Linked DNA regions of Solanum lycopersicum. The protein of the gene in region 6 interacts with the protein of the main gene of each other region in a pairwise test. Links are inferred from orthologs where the notes say so. Each region holds a gene or a part of one and is shown on either strand. Other genes may lie near its edges. The genes, in order: CAND1, BL3, TCP21, homeobox protein ATH1, B3 domain-containing transcription repressor VAL2, KN1 and Hop-interacting protein THI119.

Evidence for each region.
Region 1: the proteins of KN1 (region 6) and CAND1 interact in binary tests that used the Arabidopsis thaliana proteins (3 or more experiments, as listed by UniProt). The link is inferred for Solanum lycopersicum from reciprocal best matches to the Arabidopsis thaliana genes KNAT1 and CAND1.
Region 2: the proteins of KN1 (region 6) and BL3 interact in binary tests that used the Arabidopsis thaliana proteins (3 or more experiments, as listed by UniProt). The link is inferred for Solanum lycopersicum from reciprocal best matches to the Arabidopsis thaliana genes KNAT1 and BEL1.
Region 3: the proteins of KN1 (region 6) and TCP21 interact in binary tests that used the Arabidopsis thaliana proteins (3 or more experiments, as listed by UniProt). The link is inferred for Solanum lycopersicum from reciprocal best matches to the Arabidopsis thaliana genes KNAT1 and AT5G51910.
Region 4: the proteins of KN1 (region 6) and homeobox protein ATH1 interact in binary tests that used the Arabidopsis thaliana proteins (3 or more experiments, as listed by UniProt). The link is inferred for Solanum lycopersicum from reciprocal best matches to the Arabidopsis thaliana genes KNAT1 and ATH1.
Region 5: the proteins of KN1 (region 6) and B3 domain-containing transcription repressor VAL2 interact in binary tests that used the Arabidopsis thaliana proteins (3 or more experiments, as listed by UniProt). The link is inferred for Solanum lycopersicum from reciprocal best matches to the Arabidopsis thaliana genes KNAT1 and HSL1.
Region 7: the proteins of KN1 (region 6) and Hop-interacting protein THI119 interact in binary tests that used the Arabidopsis thaliana proteins (3 or more experiments, as listed by UniProt). The link is inferred for Solanum lycopersicum from reciprocal best matches to the Arabidopsis thaliana genes KNAT1 and CXIP4.

Annotation. Positions count from the first base shown.
Region 1 is NC_090800.1:87,675,491-87,678,990, forward strand, and holds part of CAND1 (cullin-associated NEDD8-dissociated protein 1), read left to right. Parts: intron 1-1,158; coding exon 1,159-1,324; intron 1,325-1,796; coding exon 1,797-1,926; intron 1,927-2,449; coding exon 2,450-2,564; intron 2,565-2,639; coding exon 2,640-2,797; intron 2,798-2,881; coding exon 2,882-3,005; intron 3,006-3,230; coding exon 3,231-3,281; intron 3,282-3,348; coding exon 3,349-3,431; intron 3,432-3,500. UniProt on the Arabidopsis thaliana protein: Key assembly factor of SCF (SKP1-CUL1-F-box protein) E3 ubiquitin ligase complexes that promotes the exchange of the substrate-recognition F-box subunit in SCF complexes, thereby playing a key role in the cellular repertoire of SCF complexes.
Region 2 is NC_090807.1:66,657,356-66,661,535, forward strand, and holds the start of BL3 (bell-like homeodomain protein 3), read left to right. Parts: upstream 1-1,380; coding exon 1,381-2,190; intron 2,191-2,545; coding exon 2,546-2,937; intron 2,938-3,606; coding exon 3,607-3,667; intron 3,668-4,065; coding exon 4,066-4,180. UniProt on the Arabidopsis thaliana protein: Plays a major role in ovule patterning and in determination of integument identity via its interaction with MADS-box factors. Formation of complex with AG-SEP dimers negatively regulates the carpel identity process and favors the maintenance of ovule identity.
Region 3 is NC_090802.1:2,189,817-2,192,847, reverse strand, and holds TCP21 (TCP transcription factor 21), read right to left. Parts: upstream 1,691-3,031; 5' UTR 1,650-1,690; coding exon 669-1,649; 3' UTR 501-668; downstream 1-500.
Region 4 is NC_090807.1:54,834,227-54,838,153, reverse strand, and holds the start of homeobox protein ATH1, read right to left. Parts: upstream 2,801-3,927; 5' UTR 2,154-2,800; exon of another isoform or gene 1,297-2,153; 5' UTR 1,161-1,296; coding exon 60-1,160; intron 1-59. UniProt on the Arabidopsis thaliana protein: Transcription factor which may be involved in the signal transduction pathway downstream of the COP1 gene. Controls floral competency as a specific activator of FLC expression. Is responsive of the nuclear import of SHOOT MERISTEMLESS (STM).
Region 5 is NC_090809.1:57,733,675-57,737,656, reverse strand, and holds the start of B3 domain-containing transcription repressor VAL2, read right to left. Parts: upstream 2,801-3,982; 5' UTR 1,927-2,800; coding exon of another isoform or gene 1,905-1,926; coding exon 1,814-1,904; intron 1-1,813. UniProt on the Arabidopsis thaliana protein: Transcriptional repressor of gene expression involved in embryonic pathways, such as LEC1, ABI3, and FUS3. Repressor of the sugar-inducible genes involved in the seed maturation program in seedlings.
Region 6 is NC_090803.1:63,966,059-63,968,361, reverse strand, and holds the end of KN1 (homeotic protein knotted-1), read right to left. Parts: intron 1,866-2,303; coding exon 1,612-1,865; intron 961-1,611; coding exon 754-960; 3' UTR 501-753; downstream 1-500. UniProt on the Arabidopsis thaliana protein: May play a role in meristem function, and may be involved in maintaining cells in an undifferentiated, meristematic state, and its expression disappears at the same time the shoot apex undergoes the transition from vegetative to reproductive development.
Region 7 is NC_090807.1:1,087,318-1,090,259, reverse strand, and holds Hop-interacting protein THI119, read right to left. Parts: upstream 1,485-2,942; coding exon 501-1,484; downstream 1-500. UniProt on the Arabidopsis thaliana protein: May regulate CAX1 cation transporter.

The DNA.
Region 1 (3,500 bases), on a different chromosome or scaffold from region 6:
CTAGATGATCTTGTTTAACTGTGGTGCATGGAAAGATTACAACATATACATCCCTATGCTTGATTTTGGATTTGCCCTTTCTGATCTTGAGGCTTTCTGGTCGATATTTCTTGTCCCTCATTAAATTTGTTTATATCATTTTGGATTTCAGTCTTTGTGTTTCCTCATCAAGCCAACCAATTGCCTTCTGAGTTAACTGCAGTAGTAAGTAGATAGGCCTAGGCACTTGATATGTGGCCTACACTGGTGACTAGTAGGTGGAAAGATGATATAGGATTATTGAGCTTTTGCACCTTCTTATGTTGGACTGCTTGGGAATTTTAATTGCCTTCTGAGTTAACTGCAGTAGTAAGTGTGACCTATACTGGTGACTAGTAGGTGGAAAGATGATATAGGATTGACCTTCTGCACCTTCTTATGTTGGACAGCTTGGGAATTTTGTATGGCAATGACATCTGAGCTGTCCTGTATGCACCTAGCCTATTCCAATGGGTACCTGACCTCCTATCTACACCTGGTACCGAGTTAACTACCCACCGAGGCTTGGGGACACATGAGAAGAAACAACCCAATATTTTTTTTCCTCCAATGAAATTCAAACCCGAGATCTCGTGTCTGTCCTCGCACTTTATTGACTAATAGGCCAAAACCCTTGGGTGCAGGTTAACATAAGGAAGCTAAAATGAATAATTTGCCTCAGAAAGGTATTATCATTTACTAGTTCCTTCGAGACAAAGAAGGTTTTGATCCGCAAATTGTTCTTTATCATATGAGCTCATGTCGAATATAGAAGTCTACTAAAAAGAGAAACACGCAAATAGAGATGATTTTCCATGAACTCCACCCAAAATCTCTGCATAAAGGGACTTCTTATATAGATGCGGAACCATCATTCACTCTACATACAAGAAATCTGCAAGTGCCTTCAACCAAAAAAATGATGTGTTCTGTTCAGAAACATTAGGCAGGATTGTAGGTGAATTGTCAATGCGTGCACAATTTGTTTTAAAAAGTGATGCTGTCATTCTTCTGTATATTCTCTTATCAGCCTTATATTTGGGGAATTAACACTCTTTTACTTGTTTATTTTCAAATGCACACATATTTGTAGTTACTTTTTCTTTTTTATAAGTTTCTCTATTGTTGTCTCCCTTCCAGGGAATGAGCACTGAGATTAAATGTGAATGTCTTGACATACTATGTGATGTTCTTCACAAGTATGGGAATTTGATGGACACTGACCATGAGTCTTTGTTAACTTCATTATTGCCCCAACTAAGTTCCAATCAAGCTAGTGTCCGGAAGAAGACCGTTTCATGTATAGGTAACTTTGTTATTAGCTTCTATTTATTGGATGTATTTTAAATTGTGAATGGAGAGTGTAACTCATTAAAACAGGGTTTGTTTGATTGCTTAAAACCCGTTTGGATTGGCTTTAAAAAAGTAGCTTAAGTCTAAAAAAATAATAAGTATTTTTAACTTTTTTGAAGTCATTTAGAACTCATTTTAAGTTATTTTTAACTTTGCCAAACATTCCCCAATTTATTTTTATGGTGTTTATATATTTGCCAAACTCTTTCAGATGTCAAAAATTGTCTGAAAAGTAGGTTTGACCAACTTTTACGCCAATCCAAATACCCTCTTAGTCGTAGATGCTTTGGGTGATAGTAATTGCAATATTCGTTGCAGACACACATGAGTTAATAAGATTTCATAGACTATCATGTACTGTTGGACTGGTGGCCGAGATTTCAACTTTTCTTCAGTAAATTCAGTTTTACCTTTTTCTTTTACAGCATCTCTGTCTTCGAGTTTGTCGGATGATTTGCTTGCAAAGGCTACAGTTGAAGTTGTTCGCCTTTTAAGCAATAAGAGCTTAAAATCAGAAATGATACGAACTAACATTCAGATGATCGGGGCCTCAAGGTAGCAAATCCTAAATTTAAATTGATGCTTGCATTTTGTCCTATCAAATGTTACATGATATTGATATACTTGTTTGCGTTGATAATTTTTTAGACAAATGCCCAAGTACAATGTACTTTTCTCAACAGTAGGTATCCTGGATACTCAATTAAAAGATTTCACATCCAATATTCTTCACTCCATTGGACAGTGTCCTTTTCACTGCCCTAAAGAAGCTGCTTGCTTGTATCAAGTGAAACGAAACAGGGCTGAGTGACTTGTATCTGGGTGCACTCTTTTGCAGCTGAGTTTTTAATGTTTTGATACTTCTAAATGGATTCTGGACTTAGATAAACGTGAAATAGAAAAAACTTAAGGTGTGAAACGGACACATGCATGCACACTCTTGACTGTCACTTTTTCATTCAAGATCCTCTATTTTTTCTTTCTGAGATGTGGTGCTTACTTTTGGAGAGCTTTCCTCTATTACTATCAATTATTTTGTAGACTAATTTTTACTTGGGCTGTCAACTTGTGTTTCCAGCCGTGCTGTTGGTTATCGTTTTGGTCCTCACCTCGGAGATACAGTTCCATTGCTTATTAACTACTGTACAAGTGCATCTGAAAATGATGAGGAGCTTCGTGAATATAGTCTGCAGGTGCTATATTAATTGATTTTTTTTTTCTCTGTTCTTATTAAACCCCTGGATGCAGCCTAAGTATTTTTATTCCAGGCACTTGAGAGCTTTTTGCTAAGGTGTCCCCGGGATATTTATTCCTACTGTGATGAGATTTTGCATCTCACCCTGGAATATCTCAGCTACGATCCCAACTTCACTGACAATATGGACGAAGATATTGATGAAGAAATTCTTGAGGAAGATGAAGATGAGTATGTTCACTCACGTTCTGGATCTTTGCTAAGACTCATTAGGTTCTTCTTACTAATCAAATCACTTGTCAAATTTTGTTGTAGTGAGAGTGCTAATGAATACACGGATGATGAAGATGTCAGTTGGAAGGTTAGAAGAGCTGCTGCCAAATGCTTAGCTGCATTGGTAGTTACACGGCCTGAGATGCTATCAAAGTTGTACGAGCAGGTATAACCAGGAAGTATGACCTAGTTAGTCTCACTTCAAGCTATTATATATTTGTAGTTTAATATAAGTGTTTACCCTCTATTTGTCATTATATTTTCCTCTCTAGTGTGTCGTGCAGATGTAGCTCTCATTTCTTATTGAAGTTGAAATGTTTCTGTATACTGCTACAGTACATCTGTCTCATAGTCATAATAAATTTATAATGCTGACTCTAATCTTTTGCAGGCTTGTCCAAAGTTGATTGATAGGTTTAAAGAAAGGGAAGAGAATGTTAAGGTAAATTGGAAGTCTTTTGAATTCCCTTAACGATCTGGTTTTAATTGACTCAAAACTTGCTCGACAGATGGATGTGTTCAGTACATTCACTGAATTGTTGCGACAAACAGGCAATGTTACGAAAGGACAGACTGATCTGAATGAATCAAGGTAGGTCATTGCTATTGCTTCTTTATATAACTTAAATTGTCCAATTTTGTGTTTTCTATTATCATTTTA
Region 2 (4,180 bases), on a different chromosome or scaffold from region 6:
GGAATACTAGAATAATGACTTAGATTATATATTGAAGACGGGGTGGGAACAAATTATTTTCATTAGACTCTACTAATAGGATTATATCGAATATGTTATTGTCGTTGATTGAATTCAATTTTAATTAATTTAAGGATTAATTATTGAAGAGGGAGAGGGGTATTTTTTTTAATTTGATTTGATTTTCTTCCTAGGAAGTCTATTTTGTACGTATTGATTATCTTGTTTTGCATGAGAGAGAGAAAGTAAGAGCAAAAAAGCATATATCAATGAAAAAACATGGTTTACAAGTCATCATCACACACCCCCTTAGGCCTCTCTCTCTCTCTCTCCTTAACCTCTGGAAAATCCATAATGTTTTCTCCTTCATCTGATTTTCATCATCCTCACTAATTTCTAAGGATGTTTTTTTTCATTGTACACCATGTTTCTTGTTTTGTTTGAGAAAAAAAACAACACAGAGAAAAAAAAAGGTTCATTTCTTGATCTTCCCTTTTCTTTTCTTGTTTTGATGTTTTATGTGCAAAAACAAGTTGGTAGTGAGTAAAAATTCAATCTTTTTGTTTAATAAAGGATGGTAACTAAAAAACCCTTTTAGTTTTTAGTTCATTTGATCTTCTTCTTTTTCTTTTTTTTTTTTTTTGCCTTTTGTTCTCTTATTTTGAAGTTTTAACTAATCTACAAGCATTTGGGTGTGTAAAAATTCAATCTTTTTGTTGGAGAAAAGATAACTTCTAATTCATTTGATCATTTTTTAAAACTTTTGTTTTCTTGTTTTGAAGGTTTTACTAGTCATCTATGTTGGTATATAAGCATTTGAGTGAGTAAAAATTCAATCTTTTTGTTGAAAAAAGGTTAACTTTGATAGTAACTAAAAACCCCTTTAAGTTTTTAGTTCATTTGATCTATTCTTTACCTTTTGTTTTCTTGTTTTGATGTTTTTAACTAGTGGAAATATTCAATCTTTTGGTTAAAAAAAGGTAAGTAAAAACCCCTTTTAGTTTTTAGTTCACTTGATGTTTTATTTTTTACCTTATGTTTTCTTGCTTTGAAGTTTTTAACTAGTCATCTATGTTGGTACAAACACTTGAGTAAGTAAAAATTCAATCTTTTTTGTTCAAAAAAGGTAAAAAAATTATTTCTAGTTCACTTGATCTTTGCCTTTTGATGTTCTTCACTCTACTTATGATGTTTTTTTACCATTTTTGGGTTGTTTTAATAAAAGATATGCAGATCTTGATGGGATTTTTGTTTGTTGCAGAATCATGAAAGTACTTAAAGAGTTATAAAGCTGAGATCTTTATATGTATATATAGCTAGATGGCTAGTCATCATCAAGAAAGTATTATTCGCGAAGAGATTAAACCAAGATCATCATCAATGGTTACTAGTACTGGTTATTGGTTTTCATCAGATACAAATAATCAAAATCCAACACCACATAACAATATTGTGAATCATCAGTTGCAAAACTTTGAAACAAATCCAGATTTGTACAATTTGAGTAGTAGTACTACTTCTAGTATGGATCAAATGATGATAGGGTTTCCACCAAACAACAATAATCCTCATCATGTGTTGTGGAAAGGTAATTTTCCTAACAAGATCAATGGTGTTGTTGTTGATGATGATGATGATGATCACGGTCCTTCGTCTTCTAAGAACATTAGTGAACAATTTTATCAACATGAAACTATGTTGGCAACAACAACAACTAGTCATCAAGATTCATGGCATCATGATAATAACAGGACATTACTTGTTGATGATCCATCTATGAGATGTGTTTTCCCTTGTGAAGGAAATGAAAGGCCAAGTCAAGGACTTTCATTATCTCTTTGTTCATCAAATCCATCAAGTATTGGTTTACAATCTTTTGAGCTTAGACATCAAGATTTGCAACAAGGACTAATACATGATGGATTTTTGGGTAAATCTACAAGTATACAACAAGGGTATTTTCATCATTATCATCAAGTTAGGGACTCCAAATATCTAGGTCCAGCTCAGGAGTTGCTCAGTGAGTTCTGTAGTCTTGGAATAAAGAAGAATAATGATCATTCTTCTTCAAAACTACTTCTAAAGCAACATGACACTACTGCTACTACTTCAAAAAAGCAACTTTTACAGTCTCTTGACCTTTTGGAACTTCAAAAAAGAAAAACAAAATTGCTTCAAATGCTTGAAGAGGTATATCATATATATATATATATTCTTTCAATCCTTTTTTCTTTTTAACATGAAATTGTTGAAAAAAAGTTCTTTTTTTAATTGTTCAAAATCTTGGTGAACTAATTTTGAGGCTGAATATGCCCTTTTCCATTAATTGCCCACATGGTGACAATTTCACTATTCCATTAATTCTCTATAACCCTTTTCTCCTTTTTTCATCACACTATCGGAAACAACCTCTCTGCCTCCCGAGGTAAAGGTCTATACAGTACTCTACTCTATCCTTTCCAGACCCTACTTTTTACGTATGTTGTTGTTGTTATTCATACTTCACTAGGCAAAAAAGATTCAATTTTTTTTGGATTATGTGTAGGTGGATAGAAGGTACAAGCATTATTGTGATCAAATGAAGGGTGTTGTATCATCATTTGAAGCAGTGGCTGGAAATGGAGCAGCAACAGTTTACTCAGCCTTAGCATCAAGAGCTATGTCAAGGCATTTTAGATGTTTAAGAGATGGTATTGTGGCACAAATTAAGGCCACAAAAATGGCTATGGGAGAAAAGGACAGTACTACTACTCTTATTCCTGGCTCAACAAGAGGTGAAACACCAAGACTCAGACTTCTTGATCAAACTTTAAGGCAACAAAAGGCTTTCCAACAAATGAATATGATGGAGACTCATCCTTGGAGACCGCAACGCGGTCTCCCGGAAAGATCAGTCTCCGTCCTCCGCGCGTGGCTCTTTGAACACTTTCTCCACCCGTAAGTCCGATCTCAAAATTTAAATTTGATGAATTCAACTTACCTTTTAAAACTTATGGTATGTCACTATATTGTTTTGGTTAAATATAAATTATGTATATTTTTTTTATATTATACATTTGAACTTGTCTAGTTCTCTTGCTAAGTATTGTATTTGTTTTATTACTTGAGTCGAGAGTTTATCATAATAGTATCTTACCTGATCATAAGGTTGTGGTAAAATTGTATACATACTATCCTTCCTAGACTCTGCTTGTGTATTACACTGAATATGTTATTATAAATATTGTGTATTATGTATTTGAACGTTATTATTTTAAGTGATAGATTATTATTAAAAAAAAATTATTTTTTTATTTTAAAAAAGAAGAAAATAATATAACCCCACTTGTAGTTGTAGTACCAAGGATCTTTCTATGGGCCATCAATCATTGTTCACAAAAATAGCTAAATATTTTGGGAGTTGCTCTCAATTTGTTGTTACAGTAACTCCTTTTCCTTTTTCCTTTGTCGGTTTTAACTATACTATATATCATAACTACTCTGACTATAGAATTTTTGTTGATTTTATTTTGTTACATAACATAGAAAGTACAACATATGTTATTATAAACTATAGTATAAGTACAATTTATATTTACTTTCTTTATGGAAAATATATTCTTGCAGGTACCCAAGTGATGTTGATAAACACATTTTAGCTCGCCAAACTGGTCTTTCAAGAAGCCAGGCATGTCCTTTTCTCCACCATAACATATTAATGATATAGGTGTAACATCGAGTTTACGTTATATGCACTGACAAAGTGATAATATAAAAAAGAATTACATTATCGACCAGTTAATTATCATTTTTATCATGCTACACACTTCTAGTTATCATCATTGATATAAATGTAGAGTTTAAGTTATATGCACTAACAGTGACAGAATTATTATGAGCATTTTGACATATTATAAAAGATTGTGTTCAGTTTGTACTTATAGTCATCTTTTAAGTGATCTGGTAATGTAGATTTTTATCGCCACTCATACTCTTTACTAGTACATATAGTATAATTGTTTATATTGTCAGTATATATAACTTTGATGTGATGCACGTAAGATTGAATGTATTTTTGTTGGGCAGGTGTCTAATTGGTTCATTAATGCAAGGGTAAGGCTATGGAAGCCAATGGTGGAAGAAATGTACTTAGAAGAAACAAAAGAAGAAGAAGAAGAAAATGTTGGATCTCAAGATGGAT
Region 3 (3,031 bases), on a different chromosome or scaffold from region 6:
CACCCCTCTATCCATCTTTAGTGGGCCCTACTCTAAAGTCACATGTAATTTATGAAGTAATCCAAGTGCACGGGCCAAATGGACCCAAAGATAAGAACCACAGTACATACACAGTTACAAAAATAGCTTATATGTATTCTTTATTTATTGAAAATATATATTATATATTACTTTCTCTTCCGATATTGTTTGTCATGATTTCTATTTTTAGAGTCAAACTATAAAAACTTTGACTAACACATTTTTTCATCATATTAATATGTAAAAAATTATAATTTATAGTACTTTTCATATAGTTTTAGAATATCTAATTTTTTTATTTAAAATATCGAATTAATATGATCAAAAAATTAGTCAAATTGAACATGACAAACATTTTCTAAAGGATCGAGTTTATGTTAGTACAAAATTTACTTTTTTTTTAAGAAAAAACTACTAATGGATAGAGCACATTAACAAGCACTATAATGCAAAGAAAAAGTTGAGTGCCCCAAAACTAAGAAAACAGCAAGTTGACATTTAACATTGACGAACCCATGTCACAGCAGAGCAACTTCCTTTCCTAGATGCTTACAAGCAAAATGTTAAAATAATCTTTTGAAAAAACTAGATGCTTATCCAGAAGAGATTAACAAAAAAAGATAAATTAATGGGTCTTAGAACCCTAATCAGGATTTAGATGAGGAAGTTTGATCAATTTCACTGGAACCAGAACCAACCATAAACTGAAGCTCTCTCTTGTCATAAATCTCCAGTGAGAAATCTCTAAGCATCTGTGTAGAACTAGAACTTGGAGGCATAGCTGAAGCAACTGTGCTTAACTTGCCTCCATTGTTATCACTTTTTGACACACAAGCAGCAGAGACCCCTGTTGCTGCATAAGGTACATTAAGTATTGGAGTGGCCCACAACTGAGCCCCAGTAGCAGCAACTGTTGTATTAGTGCCTGGCGGTAGCATATAGAAAGTTGCCCCACCGGTAAATGCTGTGGTGGGAATAAGTCCATTCCCAGAGCCCACTGGCCAAACAGGAACAAGACCTTGTGGGGCAATGGGAGCCACCGGTGCAAAATTTGACGCCTCATAAAACTCGCTATTTGCAGCCCTTTTCCTTCTCTTCCTCGAGCTTTCTCCCTCGTTGTTTGACGTCGGTATTTTCAGCGTTCCGTTTACTGATACCGCGATGGCCGGAACCGTACCCGTTCCAGTAGCGGCAATGATGGCTGGCTCGGCGCGTTCTAGAAGCCATCTTATAGTTTCACCTTCCGATTTATGACCTAGTTCCCGCGTTAATTGGAAGATTCTAGCAGCACAAGCCGCCGGCATACGGATTCTCCGACCACGGCCTTCCACTTTCGTGTGCCGGTCCTTTGAGGATCTTTTCACCGGTTGTTTCTCTACCTTCTGCAATTGCATATTCATCCCAACCGACGTAGAAACTCGCAAATCATTCTCCTCCGGTTCTTCCTTTAACAACAGCACCCTATCAGTGGACGCCGCCGGAGACGGATCCACCCCTTCCGCATCGGTGACATTCCCTACCGCTGCAATGGTGTATTCATGAGAATCACCAAGTAACGGATCAATCTTACAGTCGTTCACCTCGTCATCTTCTTGTTCAATGTTTTGGTTGTTCTCAACCCTCGCCATTTTTCAGAAAAATCCCAAACACAGCTGCAAATAGCTGAAACCCAAAAAAATTTAGAGCTTAAAAAAATAAAAAAGGAGGATTGAAATAACTACAGTACCCCACTGTGTACTTAATGAAAATTGACACAAGGAGAAATTAATATAGAATTACGCGACGAAATTAAAAATTTTATTTGGACATATGATATAGAATTTTAATGTTGTGTATTTTTTTTTAATATAAATATAAGAATCTCATAAATTCTAAAATTGTTAAAATAGCTTTAATTATTTATTTTATATTATTAAATAAATAAAAATCATAAAATTGTATAATAAATTATTGCAAAACTATTTGTTCTTCACTTAATTAATTGTTTCATCAATATATTTGAGTTAAAATGAAACATGACGTGAAATTATATTGGTGAAGTGTGAGTTAAAGTGACTTATGTTGATGAGAATTAAATTTTTTTATGTCAGTGAAATTAATAAATTTTAAAACGTTATGACGTGATTATAAATTTTATTTAAATGTGAAATAATAGTTAGTATATAGAAATGTGGGGTTGTTTGAACAAAATATAAATTCGTGAATTAATTTTTGTATTTAAATAACTCAAATCATGATATTGTATTCTCATATGATTCTATACCATGATTTTTGAAGAATATGATATCAAATCTCATTATATGAAATCACGAGATGTAATCAGCATAAAATCATATGTCTAAATGCTGATTTCATCTCACGATACTATATCACATGGCCAAAACGCCAACTAAATTTAATTAGAACTCTAAGAAAATTATGTTAGGTAAAAAGTTTGACAAGACAAAGATCAAACTAGAGCTTAATATATTGATGTTATTTTATTTTGATGCCTGATATTTTTTAGGTGAAATAATTTATAATATAATAATTAAAGATATTTATTTTGATAATTTAACCCTAAATTGTGAAAAAAAATAGTGTGAAGTTCAATAATGGGCTTCACATGACGAATAAAATCTAAATCTATCAATTGTTATTTTCTTTGCTAGGTTCTCTTGCTCTTTGGATTTCTTTCCTTTTATTCTGCCCGATTTTCCCACATAATTATTAATAGAAACAAACACATGAAAAATAAAAAATTATGATTGAGTGTTATAAAAAATTATTACATGATATTTATAAAAAATTATTTGTTCATTAAAGAATATAACTTTTAGGAAGAGTCACCTCTGAAATTTTATTAATATAAAGCATTTCGGGAAGTAAACTAAAAAAGATCTCCGTAATAAACAAAACGATTTGTTGTATGGAATTATTTATACTTAACCCACTATTTACATGAGGAATATCTCTTTAAAGAACGCAATTAGACACTTCAAAACCATCTTCTTTTGCAATTATATTTCTT
Region 4 (3,927 bases), on a different chromosome or scaffold from region 6:
ATTTTCAAAACAGATTGTCATAAAACCGAAAACTAATCATCAAATGCTTGTCAACTCACCACTTGCAACAAAGCTACCAGATTCTTTTTCTTAGCTTCACAACCCATCAGACCATCAGGTGAATCATCAGAACTCATGGCTGCATAGCCCCTTCCAGCATCTGAATTCAAAGCAAATGAAGTGTTTGCACCATTCTCCGTCCCATTTCCTCGATAGCCTACCAAGTTATGATTTTGAAGTGATAACTGAGCAATTTCAGAGAGTATTTCTTGCATTACACGGAGATATCTTGATCCAGTTAAGAATTGTGAAAGGTAGACAGGTTTGTATGAACCAAAGCTTAAAGACAGATTTCTGCTGTTGCAAGAAGTTAACTCTGAATCAAAGCGTCTTTGAGGGAAAGCATGGTTGGTTACACCGGAGCAACTTATATCCGAGCATTGGTCCCGGATAGTAGTCCCACATGCAACAGCAGATTGTGATGTTGTGAGACTTAGACAGAGGTCGTTGCTAAATCGGGAGGATCCAGAGGGACTATCAGAACTCAAACTAGCTGTTTCTGATGAGAACCATGTGTTTGAATTCACATTTTCAGTTAATTGGAAAGGCTGAGATCCTGCTCGTCCTACAACCATCCCACCAATTTCCGAAACACCATCAAACTCATAGTTTCTGTAGGATCCAAATGAATGATTCAACACATTAGGATAGTCTAGACCATCCATTTTCTGGCCTTCTGTAGGATGTGATAACGGAGCTAGTACCGCTAAATTTTCAGGATTCTCGTGCATAGCGTTCCTTGCAGCCAAAAGATTAGCAAGAGACACAGCAGAAATTGGTATACCTTCCATATATTGATCATCTGCGTAAGCATTACTGATTGGATAAGAAGTACTCACTGAATACTCTTTTATTCTGTTTCTCCCAACCGGCAACACATTATGAATTGCTTCAGTGTCAACAGGTCGAGGAAAATTAGGTACATTTAGAAAACCATGAGAGGTGTTTACGGCTTCACCTTGCAGCATAAAAGGATAAGGAATTCCATGTCCATCCATGATCTGGTTTTGATTGTTCATACAAACTGTTTCGGGAAAACTAATGGGAACAATAGTCGTATGAAGAAAATTTTCATCTATAATCCGAAGAGGCTCTGCCATTTCTAGTTGAAATTTGAGTTCCACATCACTTGAGGATTTTCTATGAAACAACAAAGACAAGTGATCAAGCTAACAACAGCAGCTCAATGAAACCTTGATAGTTCACACTTGTATACTTTTGGCTGAAAAGAATTGCCTATAACAAGAAAAATGTTCTATTAATACAACTTAGATAACATCTCGAAGGATTTTCTAGAACAGATGGATGGTAGAGGAAAACACCTCTACTAAATTTGATCATTTACATCCAACTAGTTGACTCAAAAAATTGCTTTAAACACTAAGGATGGGACAAGACATTTTCTCTTTTTTCTTGTTGTATAGTCATTACCATCCAACTTTTTTTTTTTGGTCTCTTTACATTGATCTGTCTATGTTAACAGAATTATTAGGCAGAATCATATCAAAAAGTTCATGTGCCTAAATATTACTATTTCAGTCCCACAACCTGATCTTGAATAACAGTAGAAAAAAATGGAAAACAGGCAATCTGCTGTTTGATGTACAAAAAACAAATATAGAGAGAATCAAACATACATATTTCATAACTCTTAACTCAGAACATACATCCATTAACTTCCATAAATCTCCTTATAATGGAGATGGTTAATTTGCCAAATTCAAACTAAATTGCATAGACTCTTCACTTTCCATGCCACGCTCTAAAAAAATATACTACAAACACATGTCTTTTGATATCTTTGAAGAGTCTAAACAATATACGTTAAAATAGGATAAATGAAACAAACATCATGTCAAAACAACAATTATCAAGGTTACTTCTCCTTTAGTCACAAATGAAGTGAAAGTGTTAGTCATAAATATGGGACATGTCAAGTAGTTAGATAGTTAGCTTATATGTACTTAATAATAGTAAAGCAAAGAACATGAAAGGGTTAAAAAAATAAAATTGTTTCACCAAATCATAATTGAGCTTATAAAACACATCCAAAATAATAATAATAATAATAGTAGTGAAAGAAAGAAGGAAACCAAGCTTGGTGCCAAACTTCCACAAACTGCAGCTTCTTCAAAATTCCTCTTAAAATAGAATTCCAAGGTTGTTGCCAAATCCAAATATAGAGAAAAATTTAAAACAAATCATTGGGTTTTTTTCCCTTTCACCCCAAACAATGTTTAATCAAAAGACCCCTTTTTCTCCCCTTTAACAATAATAAAAATAAGAAGGGTAAAAAAAAGAAAAGAATAATGGTAGGACTAGTACAATATATCAACCCCACAACACAAAACCCACCCCCAAAAAACTACAAAAAAAAAAAAAAAAGCAATGCAAAAAGTAAGATGTTTTGCTTGCATGAGGAAGAAAAGCAAGATTTTTATTCAGAACCCAACACCCAAGAAACTCAGAAAATTCAGAATCACCATCTTCCTCACAAATACATTATTTTATTAAAAAGAGGGTTTCTTTTTTTTGTTTTTTTGGGGGGTCATTATCCAAAGGGCATGAATAAATCACAAAGAAAAGGGGTAAAGAATGTGTGTGTGAGTGAGAGAAGTGTTAAAAGCCAAAAAATGTGCTTGTTGGTTTTGCAGAGAGCAGCTGAGAGATGAATAATTACATGGATTTATGGACCCATTATGAAAAGATAGCTAAGAGAAGAGCCACACAAACGCAAAATAATCATTCACATTTCATGCAATACTATACAATTTTGCAAAAAACATACTATAGTGTGCCTCATTTTGGGGCCATTTCGTTTGGATTCAACCCAAATATAACGTTACACTGAGTATGTACATTTTTACTTCATAAAGATCGAATATATTGAGTATGTTATTATTATTTAATTTATGCGTACTACAAAAAAGATAAATTTATTGAGACAGTCATGTTTTTGAACTAGTCCAATTTTAACTGAGCATATAATCACGATAAAATGTTTTTGTTATGTATATTCTTAAATATTTATCAAGTAAATAAATTAAAATTTTGCCATTTACACATTTGTGTCAATATAAAATCTCCAAAAAAAAAAAAAGATTAGTTAAGATTGTAGAATATAACTAAAGGAAACAATTTCATTTGATTAACTTAATTACATAAGAAAACGGACAATCGTAAATTTAAACGAAAAGGGCTCAATAGGAACACTTTTACTTACCAATTTCCTCTTAGTCGTCTCCATACTAATTACAACCCTAGTGTGTAATGCTTTTAACTTACCTTAATTTTGAAAAAGGTAAAAGTGATCAAACCTTAATTTTGAAAAAGGTAAAAGTGATCTAATTGATGAAGTATATCGGATGCTATATTCCACACAAAATAAGATTTTATGTAAAAAAAATTTGATTACATCCAAAGTATTTTGACATTATAAAAAAAATTGATTATACTTAATATGCGTTTGGCCATGCGATATCATATCAACGACATGGTATCGTGAAATGTAATCAGTATTTGGACATGTCATTTTATGTTGATTTCATTATATGATTCCTTATCATGAGATGTGATATCATATCCTCCAAAAACCATGATATCGAATCACATGGTGATGCCATATCATGATTTGAGATGTTATAATACAAAATGGCCAAATACATAAGTAGATCCCTAAACTTATTGGATTTTTTCCTTCATGTACCTCAACTACGTCATTTTCCTATTGAATTATTGAACCCCCATAATTTATTACGTCTAAACAAATACCGTTGTCTGATGTGGAATCAGATTTGTGAGGGGTATTGATAGAGGATACATATGTTGTTCCACAAATCATTAGTCCAATTGATAGTGAAAATGTTT
Region 5 (3,982 bases), on a different chromosome or scaffold from region 6:
GTTAACATATGCTAGCGCAAGTTGGTCCTCGAACCATCTTAACTTTTTAAGAAAAAAGGGCTCAGAAGTTTCCGTTCAACCCACTAATGGCAGTGGTTTGTGATTTTGCCACTCAATACTGAAGAGAATCTTGCTCATTAATGAATGGGCAGGCTCCTGAGTCAGTGATACAACTCTACAACTACGTGGTCTTCAATTCTAATTGGTTACCACCATATTCCAATATATCGCCATTGAATCTTTTTAATTATTTTTTTAATAATAGTGGTGTCCGATTCAACTTGTGCTTACATCGACTATACCAGGAATTGCTTTGGCATCAATAAGTTTTATGCAAATGTGTCTACACTAGAAGCGTTCCAGATATAATTTCTCAAACTGGATGCCCTAAGACTCTGCATTAGTTTCAGTTTTCAGTTTATGGTGAAACTGTCATTAGCTACATTTTATTCCAAAGTTAAAGTGAATGTTTTTCCTTTCGGCAATGCAGGCGGTAGATTGCAAAAGATCTAAGTTTATCATGAATTTAACTACCAGTCATCTATCCTGACCAAGAAACAAAAGATAAACAGAAAAATAACAGAAGTAAAACAAACAAACAAAACAAAACAAAAGGGAAAAAAATAACAAATATTAATAATAAAATAGTTTCATTCCATCAGCACTGTATTATTTACTGTAAGTGAAATCACTGCATGCAATCTCTATTTCATATAAAGGCCAAAAAGAGCAAAAAAAGACAAAGTTGCTCCACAGTAACTTAACATGGAACCAAATAGACAATTCTGGAAAGAAAAAAAAAGTTATGCCATCACTTCAACACAGGGGCGGAGCCACCTTATCACTAGGGATTCATCCGAACCCCCTTCGGCGGAAAATTATATTATTGTTACATGGTTAAAATAAATTTTTAGGTATATACGATAGATGTCGAACCCCCTTCGGCTACTTCATGTGTTTATTTCTTCAGATTCTGAACCCCCTTATTAAAAATTCTGGCTCGCTTCAACGGCCTCACTTAGATCATAAGCCCATGCTCCTGATCTCAGCCAAGAAAAACCTCCCTATGACACAGCAAGAATCACAGATAATACAAATCCTTAGGAGAACGTAAGCAGGTTAATCTGCACTGACTTCCTAAAAGACAACAAGTGAAACAGAAAGAAGAAGGATTATCTTTCCCACATTTTGATCTTGCAGGATCTTTAATCTTTCCAGAACTAGAGTCAGTTTGAGCAACCATTACTAGGGTGCATGAACTGGACTAGGAACATATTATCCCAATAGAATTAATTCTCTCAAATTGAATATGCAATCTCTAATTTGAAAAGGTAAAGTAATTGTTTAGTCGAATTAAAGAACAGTCGGATAAAAGAACATGATTTAGCAAATATCTTTCAGCAAAACAAAAAGGATAATTCTCCGAGCTGCTACAGTATTCACCAACACAGTAACCTTAACATAAACACAGAAACTGTTCAGATTGTAAATACTTCTTCCGTTTCAAAAAAGAACAATCAGCTCAATAAACAAATTTCAAACCATCTCAATTAGTAGGACATTGATTCCTTAATCTTTTCTCGAATAAAATAAGCAAATTCAAAACCTATACAAAGAGTATATAAGTCAGAACATTTTTACAATGAAAAATCACTGTTTGACATTCTAAATGGTAATGTTATCATATAAAATGATCAAACAGAGTTGAGCACTAGGCAAACCAGTTTCTACAAAACAAAAAGAACAACAAAACTGAATTTACAAACATATATAAATTAAGTATAAAGAGAGAGTGAGATCTGAATTGAATTACCCGCACTTATCACAGAGGGTCGCAAATTCACCAGATCGCAAAGGCCACCCTTTTTTCCACTCAATTGAAGAAGTTGTCCCACACAGTCCATTCATGCAAATCTTCGACTCCATTCCTAAAATCCTTACCTCTAATCAAGCCCTAATACAGCATAATCTTCCTCTTAATACTCCATACGCAAAACCCAAAAAAAAAAAAGTTTTTTTTTAAAGCTAAAAATGAAGTCTTTAGAAAAACCCAAGTATGAAATAGTTGAATAATAAGTGTGAAGCAAGAATCTTGAAAACAAAAGTTAAAGACATAAAACTAAAGCTAGTAAGCTGCAGTGTTTGTGGGTCTGTTTTAAAATTTGTGATAGAGAAATATTAGGGAAGTTTGTTGAATTTCCGGTACCGGAACGGTGGAATTGGGAGAGAGAGAGAAGCGTAAAGTGTAAAACAGTTCAAAAATGGAAAAGGGGACATGCAGGGAGGGAGAGACTTGAAGGGTCAGCAAAGGTCGCCCGCCTTTCTCTTTCAGTTCTTCTTCCACTAACGTCTCTCTCTGCTCAATTTCTTTTTCACTTTATCATATCAGCTTTTCTTTTGAACATTGAAAAGAAAGCTTATGTTTATATAATTTGATCAAAAACATACAAGTTTTGTGACTAAATGCAAAGTAATAGTTAAGACCAACTATGTTGTAACCTCTCTCGTTGTTCTAGAAGAGATAGGATTAAAATAGGTACATTTGGAAGTGGCTTTGGTGCGGAAGTTAAAGATCGAGATAATTTTGAACATTTGAAAGTGATATGTTTTGATGTTCTAGTGTGGATGTGTGAGTGATTGGCTATAGATAATTTATATAAACAGAGATAAAACGAGAAAATAGTAGAAATGAATGTGTATGAATGGACGTGTGTTGATGAGGGCTGGAAATAGATGCTTAGGATCTTACGTAGAAAGATTAGGGAGGACACAAATTAGGATAGAAAATTAGAAGGTCATCGTGTGTTGTTTTATCATCTGTTCATATTAGTAGTTAGTGTTGCACTCGTAATTTCTAGTTCTTTGATTTTTATTACTTATTATCTTATATTTTTGGTCATCACATGATTCAATTATAATCATTGTCTTGTTACCATTAGTTATCTTGTTTGTATAATATTTCATGTACTTTAATCCATAATAATATCTCTATTTTTAGGTAAAAGATGATACATGCATACATTATATCTTTTCTAGAATCTCCGTTGTTGTTGTTATTAGTGTAGAGAAGTTTTGTGTGTGAAAGAAAATAACTTGAAAAAATAGTAATAATCAACTTTTCACAATTTAAAATCGATTAGAAAATAACTCCCCTTAAAAAGTAAGTACGAAATTTGAAAGCTTTACAAAGGGGTCTTAAACGGGTTTTTTAATGAAAGCTCTACAAAAGGGTCTTAAACGAGTTTTTTAATAAAAAAAGTGTTTTGTACATTTTTCTCTAAATTTGATTTATTTTTCTTTTTAGTTACCTCAAACAAGAATGACATGTTTATATAGCAAGTAACAATTTAACATTAAAATATTTATTTTACTTTTTATAAAATAACTTATAACAACACAAATATCTACTCTCTTCGTTAAAAAAAGGATATTAACGAAAAGGATGACCTAGTTTGACTTATAATGAAATTTAAGAAAAGAAAGAAGACTTGTTAATCTTGTGGTTCTAAATTAAAGTTATGTCAAATATATCAAAATGTTCTTTAATCTTGTGGTCTTAAATATGTCACATGGAAAGTTAAAGTTAAATTATTGTAAAAAAAAAAACGAAACATTCTTTTTTAAACAGATTAAGAAGAAAATAAAATCTTTTTTTTTTAAACACAAGAAATATCACTTATCTCAAATAAATTTCAAAAGTTTTCTTTTCATTTAAAAATTTTCTACCGATTCGAACTAACTCATATAAAATAAAATAAAAAACGGTGCAATAAAACAAATGGCTCATTTAGGAAGTGGGAGTCCTAATCAAAAGGACAAAAATCCACTTTGCTTTTCAAGTATGGTTCTTTTGGCTTAGTGTGTACGATAAGATTAGAACTAAGATTAATCATCATTGCGTAATTAAACAGATAAGTAAACAAATCAAAATTAGTTTATTCAATCCCCTAATTGATTACTTCTTCTACGCGTGCTATATCCT
Region 6 (2,303 bases):
GCAAAGTTCTAATTGTTTTATTTGTTCATTTATAATATTTCAATATCAGATGAAATTATAAGTTTTCTCTATTATTATTAGCTATATACAATATACTTTAAAAAAAGTCCATCTGAAATTAAATTTCATGGATCAACGTGTATTTGATATCAACATAAATTTTTAAGACTAAATGATTTGAACTGACAAAATGATGAGCCAATAACCAATCCCATTTTAAGCAAATTGTAATTACATCACTTAATTTTATTACCTCTACGTATGAATCTAAAAAAAATGGTGCGCACAACATTCACCTTGTGCAATACAAGGCTCACGTACCCTGGAAAACATTATCACATAAATTTGACACAACTATATGACCCATATTACCCAATAAATTACTATGCCTCAATACGAAATAAACTATATGAATTTTTACTGATCATATTTTTGATCGCCTAACACATATTAGACACTCAACTAAACTACTAGAGCCAAATACTATTAACACCATTGGATAAGTTAACACTAGATTTTGGTACACTAATAACATTACAATATTAAATACAAAAGGATTCTCACCATATACAATTGAACAAGCAATAAAATATCCTTGTGCTTAGGCCTATAAGGCTTGCTAGAAACATACATACTACAACTAATTAAAAATCCATACTATTCATACTCACCTTACAAGGAAATTAAATGTTTCTTTTTTCCCAATTAAGAAAATGTAGCATGCAAAGTTTAATTTATTAAAATTCATAAATATTACTGACCCAAACGAAAAGGGCCTTCACCCATGTAGTGACCTTCCATATAAAGAGCAGCAGCACTTTGTGGATGAAGACCATCCATCACCATAAATTGCATGTCTTCTGAAGGCTTCCAGTGTCTTTTCCTTTGGTTAATGAACCAGTTATTTATTTGTTTCTGATCCAATCCTGTTGATTCTGCCAATGCAACCTTCTCCGACTCCTGTAATATCGTAGCAGGTAACCAATCTTATTTATATAGGTCAACTCATTCTTTGTGAAACTTGTAATATTCTTCATATTGTCATAATAGAAAAGTCAAAAAATCGAATCGAGTAGACGAATGAAGTTTATCAACAAATGACATGAATGTCAGGAGTAGTTACTTAATCTACGCACCAATTATGTGATACATTGAAATGTAGCACTTTTTTTTTTATATTGATACAAGTAGAATAACAAATTATGATAAACTTTATCATATAATTTTTGAAAATATCTGAACTTTTATTTTGGAAAATTGAGTTGATCTAAATCCGATTCAGAAACAAAGATTAATCACATCGACTATTGAAAAAATGAGAAGTGACATGTACATTTTGGAACAAAGAGAGTACCATGATTACTAGATTAGCAACTAATACTAATCATACAAAATTAACTTGTTATAAAGACCTAGCAATTAAGCGATCTAATGGTATTAACCTATATTATATTTTTTAGTCCGTCCCAAAAACAAAACATCATTTTTCTATAATGAAATGATTTATAGTTCATACAAATACTTAAGATTTGTTCATAATACCACGAATTTCAAAATTTCAAAACATAGCGTTAAATCAGATAAATTGAGACAAAAGGAGTAAATATTTACCGAAGGGTATGGCCACTTGTAGTGCAACTCCCACCAAGTGATCAATTTCTGCCTAGCATCTTTGGGCAATTTCCCCTTTTTCTTCTTCTTTGAAAGTTCTTGTTTGAGGCTACTTAAATAGCCACTATATTTTCTCAACAAGTGATTCTTAAGTTCTCTATCTTCTGCTCTTGGATCTATTTCAGGAAGTTCAGTTTCTCCACCACTGTTGTCTTGATCCTCTTCTGATGATCCAACACCCTCACACTTGTCCTCTATAATCAACAAAACAACATAATATATATAGGTTAATAATAATAATAATAACAATAATTTATCTTAACCTTGCTATTATACTTGTAATCAATAGTACATCTAGGTACAAAAGAAAAGTCTCTATGCACATTTGTAATACAATACATATAATGTAAGCTGTTTATCTTGATGCAAATATTAATGATTGATTATACAACTCAACTCGATGACCTAAAGATCGCCACGTGATAATTTTAATGCTATGAGATTCCCTTCAATAGTGGAGTAAATCTAGTTATGTTTGTACAATTTGAGGTAAACCTACCTCATTAGCACTGGATTTATTTGAACTAGTATTTTCCACGCGAAGCATAAATTTAAATATACAAAATTACCACAATGTAGAAGTTTGAACTCATTATTTTGAAATATTATAAATTCATTCTAAGATAACCTTA
Region 7 (2,942 bases), on a different chromosome or scaffold from region 6:
ACAATATTGAGTAAAACCAGAAATCAGAGTACACCACATTCGGAATACAATTTCTGGAAATGTGAGAAAAAAAAATAACAAAGGGTCTAGCACAATCAAATATCAAAGGCTACTGTAACATATTTCTTGAAATTTTTAACACATGATGTTGATAAATATGGTAAATATAGGGCTCATATATCACTTCAACTATTACCACCCTATGAAGTTGCACAAGTTGCGGATTGTAACTAATAATCCCACAAAACCTTCAAAAGGATAACATGATGCAAGTTCAACAAGGATAGCAATATCCTGAATAACTGATGCAGTACTGCAACATCAGTTGAACAATACTCAGGACCATGAAGGGAAAATTACAAGCAGACGAGTATTTGTTGAGGCAAAAGATGAATAGACAATGAAAAATACACACAGTTCCTAGATAAGCAAGTTCCATAGAAAGAAATGGACCTGCAATCCAGATAGTAGATGATAAATCTCCTTTCAGGGGTACATTACTACTCTTCATCATCATGACGTTTCCTGCTCCTCTTCTCAGAACGTTTTTTGTCCCTGCCTACTCGTGCATCATCAGAGTTGCTGGCGTCAGAATCAGATGCTGAGGCTGCTGCTCTCCTGCTCCTACGCTTGTGCCTTGGAGGCGATTCATCACTTGATTCAGCAGAACTGTCCGCATGTCTATGACTTCTCCTCCTCCTCTTCTCCTTCCTACTTTTTCTCCTCCTCCGACGATCCTCCTCCTCATCTGATGATTCATCCCGTTTTCTCCTCTTTTCCCTCCTCCTCTTCCTACGCTCCTTATCTTCATCATCATCCTCCGAATCACTGTGTCCCCTCTTCTTCCCACTCCTCCTTCTCTTTGATCTACCCCTCTTTTTCCTTTTTCCAGAGTCTGACTCGTCATCAGAATCAGAATCTTTCTTTTTGTGCTTCTTAGATGATGACTTTAACTTTCTACTCACCTTCTTACCATACTTCTCAGCAATTGCCCTCTCCATTTCAGAATCATAATCAGAATCAGAACTCTCACTCTCCTCCTCTTCTTCACTGCTATCCTCGTTTTCTGCTTTCCCCTTCATCTTAGAACCATGCCCCTTAATCTTCTCCAATCCAGACAACACGGCAGCTTCTATTGCCTCTGCGTCCTTATCCTTGTTATCATCCTTAACACTCACGAAATTCCTACATTGGAAAGTGAGGTGGCCAACCCGCCCACACCTCTTGCATGCTCCACGGGTCTCATCAGCATTTGATCCAGTGATTCGAGCAAGTGCAAGCAAACCCTGAAAGCTTGCATAAGCATTTTCGGGATCTGCAGCCGACGATGGCTTCTGGTTAGACGATTTCTTGTCTTCATCCTTGCTAGGAGCATATGGGTCATAACCAATAGCACTTTGCCAGATGCCGTGCGTCTGTAGGGCTGCACTACTGTGTACCCTATTGTTCGCAGGCATGCGAACTCTACCTGCGGTGGCCGGCATGTTGACTGTTTTTCACCTGCAAGCTGTATGCACCAAAAAATTAATTTTTAAGCATTACCATTAAAATATAACTAGTTTCCACAGTCACAAAGAGCCAAAACCAGAAGTGGAATGCTGTATACACTTAATCAACATGTAAGCATCAAATTTCCAAATCCTGGCAGTTTTTTCAAGCTCCAAATTCGGTGCTAAAATCAGAAGAGAAAAAGCTGTATTCACTAAAAATCTAACATGTAGCACCAGATTTCCATACCTTAACAGCCTTACAAAGTTCCAAATTCAGAGCTAAAAATCATAACAGTCCATTTATACTGAAAATCACAACATAAGCATCATCAACACTCCTAACCCTAGCTTTTCGAAATTCAAAATGCAGATCTTAAAATCAGAACAGTAATAGGATGTGTACACCAAAATCATTAGTTAAGCATAAAAAAGTTGAAGCCTAGCTTTTAAACAATTCCCAATTTGAACTAGAAAATCAGATCAAATTCAGATAAGTTTCAAAATTAGGCCGACAACAACAATTCAATTCCACAAAGATATAACAACCCAAAATAGTTGATTTCTAAGGTAGAGGAAGATAAAACAACAGACAAATAGTGAGAGCCTACCAAAAGACCAACGAAAAACTTAAAGCCCCTTGCAACAAGATAATTAACAAAGAACTCAACCTTGAACCTAACTCAACCCAAAAAGCTAGCCCAAGAGATGAGAATTTCCCAAGCCATACAAGGAGACCAAGAGCCTGTTTGGACGGACTTATGGCTTTTGACGTATAAGCCATACGTTAGGAATTCTCACTTATGGCTTTTGGCTTATTTTTGTCTTTTTTACTTAAAAACAAGTTCTTAAGCTACTTCAACTTAAAATAAGCCAATCCAAACAGTATCCGAGATGTGGGAGACTCAACAATAATTGATATAAAGACTAATTAAAAAAAAAATCAACAGATAGTAAAAGTTCCAAAAAGACAAAAGAAATACATAAATTTAGAGCCCCTCCAATGAGATAATTGGTGTAAGCGATCTCAAATAGTTCCTACAGTTAATAAAGATGTCTATACAAATTCACCAGTCTCAACCTACTTCGGTTTGGCTACACGAATCATCAAATATCAATTCCATTCCGTCTGCCCGTTTATTCTAATACTCGATAATTTTTCTTAAAACAAGCTATAGATGATTGCACAATCAATTCAAATGAATTTAAAAAAGAATAAATCCTAAAATCGTGTTTTTTCTGCTATATCTCTAGGGGTTTTCAGATATAAGCTGTTAGTAAAAGTGCAGACCATCAACAACAACTAGCATTGTTTCACCTCAATCTCAAACCAGTTGGGTTTGGCTATACGAAACCCTCAGTACTTAGTAATTTGTCTTAAAACAAGCTAGCAGTGATTGCACCATCGACAAAAAAATCTTTTTTTTTTTCTTAAAAGAAGACATAATTAGGGCA